2 linked regions of the Macaca mulatta genome follow. The protein of the gene in region 2 interacts with the protein of the main gene of each other region in a biochemical or structural test. Links are inferred from orthologs where the notes say so. Each region holds a gene or a part of one and is shown on either strand. Other genes may lie near its edges. The genes, in order: SELE and GLG1.

What was found.
Region 1: the proteins of GLG1 (region 2) and SELE form a complex in vitro, tested with the Homo sapiens proteins (2 studies listed by BioGRID and IntAct). The link is inferred for Macaca mulatta from reciprocal best matches to the Homo sapiens genes GLG1 and SELE.

Annotation. Positions count from the first base shown.
Region 1 is NC_133406.1:27,237,296-27,241,878, forward strand, and holds the start of SELE (E-selectin), read right to left. Parts: upstream 2,895-4,583; 5' UTR 2,772-2,894; intron 2,462-2,771; 5' UTR 2,414-2,461; coding exon 2,377-2,413; intron 1,804-2,376; coding exon 1,420-1,803; intron 823-1,419; coding exon 715-822; intron 1-714. UniProt on the Homo sapiens protein: Cell-surface glycoprotein having a role in immunoadhesion. Mediates in the adhesion of blood neutrophils in cytokine-activated endothelium through interaction with SELPLG/PSGL1. May have a role in capillary morphogenesis.
Region 2 is NC_133425.1:69,910,454-69,914,815, forward strand, and holds the start of GLG1 (Golgi apparatus protein 1), read right to left. Parts: upstream 3,074-4,362; 5' UTR 3,054-3,073; coding exon 2,583-3,053; intron 1-2,582. UniProt on the Homo sapiens protein: Binds fibroblast growth factor and E-selectin (cell-adhesion lectin on endothelial cells mediating the binding of neutrophils).

The sequences.
Region 1 (4,583 bases), on a different chromosome or scaffold from region 2:
AATTTAAACTTGAATTCGTTGAAATCAAATGATATTTAAAATTCAGTTCCTCAGTGTCACCAGCCACATTTCAAGTACTTAATAACCACATGTGGCTCATAGCTACACACTGGACAGCACAGCTATGGAACATTTCCATGATCACAAAAAGCTCTACTGCACAACGCTGTGCTAAGGAATTTTGGAGAGAAGCTAATCTAACTCTCTAAATTTACAAATTTAGGAACTGAGACCTCATTTCATTCAATCGACTTGCTCCATGCTACACAGCTAGTCATTACAGAGCCAGAGCATGAACCAAGATACCCTGGACTCTGTAACTCACTCATTTCTACTGCAACGTCTTGTTACCACCTAGATGATGTGAGCACCTGTTCCTTGCAGGGACACAGAACTACAGTTTATTGAATGTATCCTGTGAGCCAGGCACTATGTAACCATGAGCCTATAAAGTTCACATTATTATCCTCATTTTACAATGAGAAAACTGTGACCTAGAGATTTAAACTATCTTGTCAAGGTTCCATAATAAACAACTGGTGAATCTAGGACTCAAACCCAGAAGGGTCTGACTTCATAGTCTCAACTCACTATCACCATATGACACCATCTGCACCAGGGAAGGGAAGGCATGCAGACCTGACTCTAATGCCAGCTAGGACATCAGATCGTGCTACCATCTCAAGTGAAGAAAGAGGTGAGAACCAGACTTACTTTGCTCACACTCGAGTCCACTGAAGCCAGGGTCACACTTGCAAGTGTAATTATTGATGGTCTCTACACATTCACCGTGGCCACTGCAGGATGTATTGGTACAGGCAGCTGCAGAAAACACAAAGCATGGTGAGGAGGACTATTGCTGTGCTTATACTGAGTGCCTTTGATTTTAGAATCAACAGTGTGCAACGGAGACATCAGCAGTGCTACAGAGTGCCATAGACTTTAACTGAAGTGTTTTACGAAGTTCCAAATCTGAGCTTCAGGCCCACCTATCTTAAACCTTGATGCTAATGTATAGCTGTGGCTGGCACCTACCATAGAAAAGTTACTTCTTCACAAACTCTGGAGACAGTTCCCCTACCACAATAAACAAGCAATTAAAATATGTATTGTGTGTGTGCAATGTAAAGAACTACATATTTGCCTACAGTATTTAGATACATTTTATATATACACACACACATATGTGTATGTGTATATATATGTGTGTGTATATACATACATACATACATATATACACATACCCACATTTTCTTGCCCACATTCACACAAAACAGCAAAAGAGAGAAACTTTAGCAGTTAAACAGAATCTTTTAGAACATAAAATGACCACAATAGAGAGCAATTTTTGCATGCCGTAAATTTGCCAGGATGCCCACACACTGAAACTACCGCCCACTGCAGCCACAAACTCCCTACCTGTGTAGCACAGGGCAAGCTTCTTCTTGCTGCACCGCTCGTCATTCCACATGCCCACATCTTTGTCTCTCTTGATGTAGATCTCCACGCAGTCCTCATCTTTTTGCCTATTGTTGGGTTCACCTGGAGCCCAGTTCTTGGCTTCTTCCGTCAGAGGTTTCTGGGTTCCTACCCAGACCCACACATTGTTGACTTTTCTGATTCCAATCCAGTAATAACTTGGTGAATAGCTCAATATGGAGTTTAGGTACTCAATCTCTTCTTTGTTTTGAATTGCAACCAGATGCGTGTACCTTTGCTGGCAATAAGCACTGGCCTCATCATAAGTCATAGCTTCTGTGGAGGTGTTGTAAGACCAGGCTCCACTCTCTTTAATGAGAAGCACTAGTGGGAGAAAAAGAAAAGACATGGTAGAGTTTGGTGCTGTTGTGGTTTAACTCTGATAACTGTGCTTTTTATTGTCTTATTTTTGGCAATGTTTGTGACCAGACTTTTCTCATCTTTTCAAAAGTAAAAGGTACGTATGAAGAAACAGTGACTTATCGTTTATCTCTTTTGTGACTGGCCACCCACGAGGTGCTTTACCCGCACTCACTCACAACATTATAGTAAACCCATTTTGTAGTAGAATAATAATCAGAATAACTAAGCTTTATGGAGCACTTAGTAGGCACCAAGTAGCACTGTATGAGGTACTTTCCATGAACCATGCTATTGAATCCTCACAACGCATCTGGGAAATAGGTCATTTATGATCCACACTTTACACTTAAGGAAAGGGAGACACTAAGAGGTAAAGTAAATGGCCCAAAGCCTGGGGAAGAACACATTGCAGGTAGAGGTCAAGGATGCTGTCAGATACCCTGCACAGGACGGACCCAGACAAGCAAGGATATTTCAGTCTGAAACATCTATAGTGCGAGAATGAGAAATCCTGGTCTAATGACACTGACTTACCCAAAGTGAGAGCCGAGAGAAACTGTGAAGCAATCATGACTTCAAGAGTTCTTTTCACCCAAAGGTTTAGGCTTGAAATACTTTACTGGGGAGATAAAACACAAAATGAATTAGAGAAGGAAATCCTGAGTAGCCAGTTACATTATTCTACCATGATGTTTAAGGCAGCATCCTAAGATTTTGGGTAAAGGATTCTAGTGCCATAATCTTTATTTCAGAGTTTAATCAAATAAATAAACAAATTTTAAGATTTTCATCATTTAGGTCAAAGAGAAAAGACAGGTTTTAGCTACAATTCAATAAGAGCTTGTACAGATGTGGTTTTTACTAGAAGGCTTTTTGCATATCTGTGTTTCATGGCCCAAGGCTGCCCTTATAAAGCGTTCTGCACTTACTCTTTTGGGAAGCAGTTGTTCAAACTCAGGATCTCTCAGATGGGTATCACTGCTGCCTCTGTCTCAGGTCAGTATAGTAGTTTTGATGTGAAGTCAGCCAAGAACAGCTGAACACTACTGCGGCTGAGGCCCTTTTATAGGAGGGATTGCTTCCTGTGAATAATAGGAGGATATTGTCCACATCCAGTAAAGAGGAAATCCCCAATGGCATCCAAAAAGTTTCCCGGGAATATCCACGATGCTTAAAATTACAATGATGTCAGAAACTCTGTCTCTTGAAGCTACTTCATCTTTGTCCATGCCTTTATACTATATATGCAATTTTATTAATATGACACAAATGCATGATTTTTAATTCTGATAACGTAAAGTCTATGTCTTTAAAAAGTTGTAAAACTTTGCGTGTTAGTAGTATCTCTCATGTAGTTGTGGTAGAATTTCAGAAACATAAGGAAACCAAGAATAGGTTTGTCATCCATAGTCTACTACCTTCAATTTCTCATTCATGGCTGTTGATAACCAATCACTACTCATTTTTTCTTCCTTTTTCACCTGCCAATTCAACATATTTAACATGCACTGTCTCACAGAGGAATGACTCACGAGGTAGATATTAATCTTCAGATTTTGCATAGCAGTTATGCCTAAATTAAAATATTATCTAAAAATAATATCTACCACTCAAATGATTAAAATGATGTCTTATTTTTTAAAAATAAGAAAAATGGGAAATAGATATTTACATATGGGAAAGTTTCATGGTTTGTTCAGTGTAAAAAAATAAAAAGGAGGCTGGCGTGGTGGCTCATGCCTTTTATCCCAGCACTTTGGGAGGCCGAGGTGGGCAGATCACCTGAGGCCAGGAGCTCAAGACCAGACTGACCAACATGGAGAAACACTGTCTCTACTAAAAATACAAAATTAGCTGGGCATGGTGGTGCATGCCTGTAATCCCAGCTACTCAGAAGGCTGAGGCAGGAGAATTGCTTGAACCTGGGAGGCAGAGGTTGCAGTGAGCCAAGATCACGCCATTGCACTCCAGCCGGGGAAACAAGAGTGAAACTCTGTCTTAAAAAATAATAATAAATAAAATAAAAATAAAAAGGAAAACTATATATCCATATTTAATTGCTCCAAATTTTGTTTAAATTTTTTGAAATGTTAATGTGCAAAGAATAAAAACTCTTCCACAATGTTAACAGTGACTATCTCTGGATGGCAGGATTTGGGATAATTTTTATATCCTTCATTATTATTTTCAGAATCTTCTGATTTTTTCAATTTCCCTTTTTTTCCACCTTTATCGTAACAAGAATACAGTTTAAAGAAACTTGTCTCTAGGCCAGGTATGGTGTCTCATGCCTGTAATCTCAGCACTTTGGGAGGCTGAGGTGGGTGGATCACCTGAGGTCAGGAGTTCCAGACCAGCCTGACCAATATGGTGAAATGCTGTGTCTACTAAAAATACAAAAATTAGCTGGGTTGTAGTGGCGCATGCCTGTAATCCCAGCTACTGGGGAGCCTAAAGCAAGAGAATCGCTTGAACCCAGGAGGCGGAGGTTGCAGTGAGCTGAATCGCACCATTGCACTCCAGCCTGGGTGACAGAGCAAGACTCCATCTCAAAAAAAAAAAAAAAAAAAAAAAAAGGAAAAGAAAAGAAACTTGTTTCCAAATGCAACAGAAGGAGATGTATGTGGTATCCTATATTCCTGCTCTGCATTTTGACATTTCTTCTGGATTATTGTATATACATTCCCCATCTCTGCATCTTATCCAATCTCAATGATGGTAACAGTAAATGGGGATCATTT
Region 2 (4,362 bases):
TGAAATTTCCTTTCACTGTCTTTAAAGAAAAAGAAAATAGGCCAGGCACGGTGGCTCACGCCTGTAATCCTAGAACTTTGGGAGGCCGAGGAGGGCGGATCACGAGGTCAGGAGATCGAGACCATCCTGGCTAACACGGTGAAACCCCGTCTCTACTAAAAATACAAAAAATTAGCCAGGCGTGGTGGTGGGTGCCTGTAGTCCCAGCTACACGGGAGGCTGAGGCAGGAGAATGGCATGAACCCGGGAAGTGGACCTTGCAGTGAGCCGAGATCGTGCCACTGCACTCCAGCCCGGGCGTCTCAAAAAAAAAGAAAAAAAAAAAAAGAAAAGAAAATAAGGTGGGCACAGCGGCTCAAACCTGTAATCTCAGCACTTTGGGAGGCCGAGATGGGCAGATAACAAGGTCACGAGATCAAGACCATCCTGGCCAAAATGGTGAAACCCTGTCTCTACTAAAAATACAAAAATTAGTTGGGCGTGGTGGCACGCAACTGTAGTCCCAGGTACTCAGGAGGCTGAGGCAGGACAACTGCTTAAAGCCGGGAGGTGAAGGTGGCAGTGAGCCGAGATCACGCCACTGCACTCCAGCCTGGCAACAGAGTGAGACTCCGTATCAAAAAAAAAAAGAAAAGGAAAAAGAAAAGAAGTTTAAAAATAACTCCACCTCCTGAAGAATATACACAGGTGTTCACAGTACTCTTCTTTCAGTATTTCTGTATGTAAAAACTGGAGGAAAAAACATTAAATTGGGAATTTGGCTCCTCCCCCTCCCCCTAAACCCCCAAAACTCCCATTTCCAATTTACATGACACCTTTCCTCCTCTGGAGCATAAAAGTGCCTCCTTTAAGTGGAGGTTTCCAAATGTCCGGAATACACATGAATAAGGATATATACACTCCTTGCGTAGGCACTTTTTGCCACTTTCCCTAATAATGTGCTGTTTCTGGCCGGGCACAGTGGCTCACGCCTGTAATCCCAGCACTTTGGGAGGCCAAGGCAGGCGGATCACAAGGTCAGGAGATCAAGACCATCCTGGCTAACTCGGTGAAACCCCGTCTCTACTAAAAATACAAAAAATTAGCTGGGCGTGGTGGCGGGCACCTGTAGTCCCAGCTACTCGGGAGGCTGAGGCAGGAGAACGGCGTGAACCCGGGAGGCGAAGCTTGCAGTGAGCCGAGAACGCTCCACTGCACTCCAGCCCGGGCGACAAAGCCAGACTCCGTCTCAAAATAAATAAATAAATAAATAAATAAAGTGCTGTTTCTACCACAAACCACTAATAATGTGTTTGGTCACCAGTATTAGGATCGTAGTTTGATGAAACGACATCTATTATGTGTCCTCAAAGAGCAAAAAGAAAATTCCAAAAAGTTTGACACCCCGACTTAGGAATCTTAGCTGTATCTATCAGAGGACTATCCTTCTAGCCTTCAAGCTGAAGATGAGAAGTCAGGTAAGGCCTCGCATTTCCAGTGGTTCTGGAAACTTCCTTTCTTTCTGTCTCCTGCTTATGTATGTCTTTTCCTCTATCTGAATTGCTTTTGTATAGAATACTAGAGCATGAGATGAACCAAGAGTAGCAAATTTCTACAAGTCAGTGGTCTTCCTATAACTTGAACGCCGTAAACAAATCTGATACTACAATTTAAAAAAAAAAAAAAACAGCTAAAAACAGTATCAAGTAGCAGCTTTATTCTATGTGTCAACCTTTAGGGCTAATTCTAATACTTACACCTCTGGAAAAAGTTTCTACTGTCAGATTTGCTCCCAAACTTTGAGAATTGTCAAATATGCACTTACAGTCTGCAGCATTAAACCTAGATTATAAATTATCAATGTCACTTAACTGAATCACACCAAGCAATGGCAAATCTAGATTTCATTAACAGATACTGTTAAAATCACATTGAGACCTCAGAAAAGCAAGACCCCATAACCCAGCCACAAACACAGCTTCAAATGCTTCCCCAACTTTTCAAGCTTTGGGTCGCCAAGTCACTCGGAGTTAACAGCCTAAACATGGGGTTCAATACAAACTGACCAAAGGAAGTGAAGAAAACAAAGCATACATTATTTCAGCAAGAAGATGGATTTGCGAATTACATCTACTGTAATAAACAGCAGATCAAACCCCTACTGCTAATAAACAGATCGTTCTTTACAGCCTAAGTACGCCAGGCATTTTTTTATGTTTAAATGGCTTGCCACAAATTGTCCTAGTCAAAACTGATCGCAAAATCCTAAACTGGTGTTCGGCGAGGAGACACTCGGTATAGAGGATCACACAAAAGACAGGAGCGAACAGACACGCTCTGGGCCTCCGCGGATTGCGGCCAGGAGTCCAGGTCTTCGTCCCAGACCCCGGCAACAGGGAGGGAAATAAGGGCGAGGGAATAGAAGTGGGGGTGGGATCCTTTTCCCTGAATGCGCCTGGGAATGAGGAGCAAAGAGGGAAGGAGCGAGTGCAGCACAGAGGAAGCGAGAAAAGCAGCCGACCGGCGTCAGCGTCTTCCAAGGCTGGCAACACCCTCGGGCCCGCACCAGGCCTGGCCCTCCCGGCTTCGTCCCACCTCCTCACCTCCCTCACATCCTGCAGGCACTCGAGCACCGCCAGGTTGTTGCTCCAGGTGTGCTTGGGGCACACGCGGGTCACGTCCTCCCTGCAGGACTCTTCCTCCGCCAGCTTCCAGCCCCCACCAGCCCCCGCTCCTCCTCGCCGAGCCGGAGGCCCACCCGCCGGGAAAGGCAACTGTGGCGGCTGAGGCTGCTGTTGCTGTTGCTGTTGCTGCTGCTGTTGCTGCTGCTGCTGCTGCTGCTGCTGCTGCTGCTGCTGGAGCTGCGATGACTGAGGCAGCTGGGGCAGCTGCTGACCTGCCGGGCCGCCGCCTCCGGCCTGCCCTACGAAGGACACAAAGTTGGCGCCGGGGCCCTGGCCCTGGCTATGGACGCCCTGGCCGGGGAGTTTCTCGGCCCCGGCCGCGGCTAGCAGCAGCAGCTGCAGCGCCGCCGACAAGCGGAACATCCTCCGTACACGTCCACACGCCGCCATCTTGGGTCCGCGGCGAGCTCGACGCACTCGCCGGCGCCGCGTATTTAAATAAGGGGGCGGAGACGCCGGGCGTGGCAGCGTGGCCCTGCCGAGGCCCGCCCCTGCCGGCGCCGACCCGCAAGTCCAGAGTGGGGCGAAGGAAGAGGCTACACTGAAAACCGTACACGCCCTGGACCCGCGGCTGGGAGAGCGGCGCTTCTTACCTGGGTGGTTGGTGGGGTTTCTTAAAAAGCCCGGGCAAGGCGGCCTAGTCTAATTCCCTTTCTTGTCACAGAAAAAAAATCAAGGGAATTGGGGTTGCCACAACCAAAATGGCCGGTAGAATATGTCGCCGGTTCAATGACTTGGAAAACAAAAACTTTATATGTAGAGGTGAACTTTGCACAACCAGGTGTGTTACGGAATCGGAAAGCTTCTCCTTGCATCGCTCCCTCCTTCCTTCCACCTGCCTCAGAAGTCTTTCCTAGCCAAAGAGAGAGACAGCATTGAATAGGGTTAAGAGCATAGGTCTTGGGGTAAGAAAAAAATTAAGGTTATAATCCTTGCTCTGATAGAGTGGGCAAGAGCTCAAATGTAAAGTACCATTGACAAGATTCAAAATAATAATAAGGGAAGTGCCTGGCCCACAACATGGAACTCCAAAAGTCATAGCCAGTATTGTTAAACTGTGAAGCCCTTTGTGCGTAAATCCTGATTTTAAGCCAACATTTAGATTCATGTTTAAAGGATGAACAAATAATAATAAAACACACTTTGAGGACTCGGGTTAAGTCTGTGTCGGTAACTGTTCTCATTGACCTGCATGCAATATCGCAGGCACCCCACGCTAGCATCCCCTCCCTGTCCTTAGGAGAAAGGATATGTTCCCAAAGCCTCTTCACATCCGCTGTGTAATCTGAGCCATGCATCAGGCCTGCGTTAGGTTCTCATTTAGCTGAAGAATGGCATAGAGATGTTAACAGTTCTGTGCGGAGGGATTAAATGAGCGGCCCAAGAAGAACTCTGCCATCCTGTAGACAGCCAGGCTAGCCACCAGAATCCCTGGGGCTTCCCACCACCCTGGTGCACTTTTATCCCACTTTGTCCATACACATGTTGGGGAATCAGGGCAGTTTGGGATGTGTAATCTTCCCTGGTCATTGTGTCCAAAAATGCAGCTTCTGCTGTCCTGACCCACAAATGATCAGTCAAGACCAGATTAGACATAACTAGAACCTGAGAAGTCAGGAGCTCAGGGAACCTAAAAGGAGCCCCTGAGACTGAAGATATTCTGTGAGTACAAATTACCCACTGTGGCTGACCCCAGGCC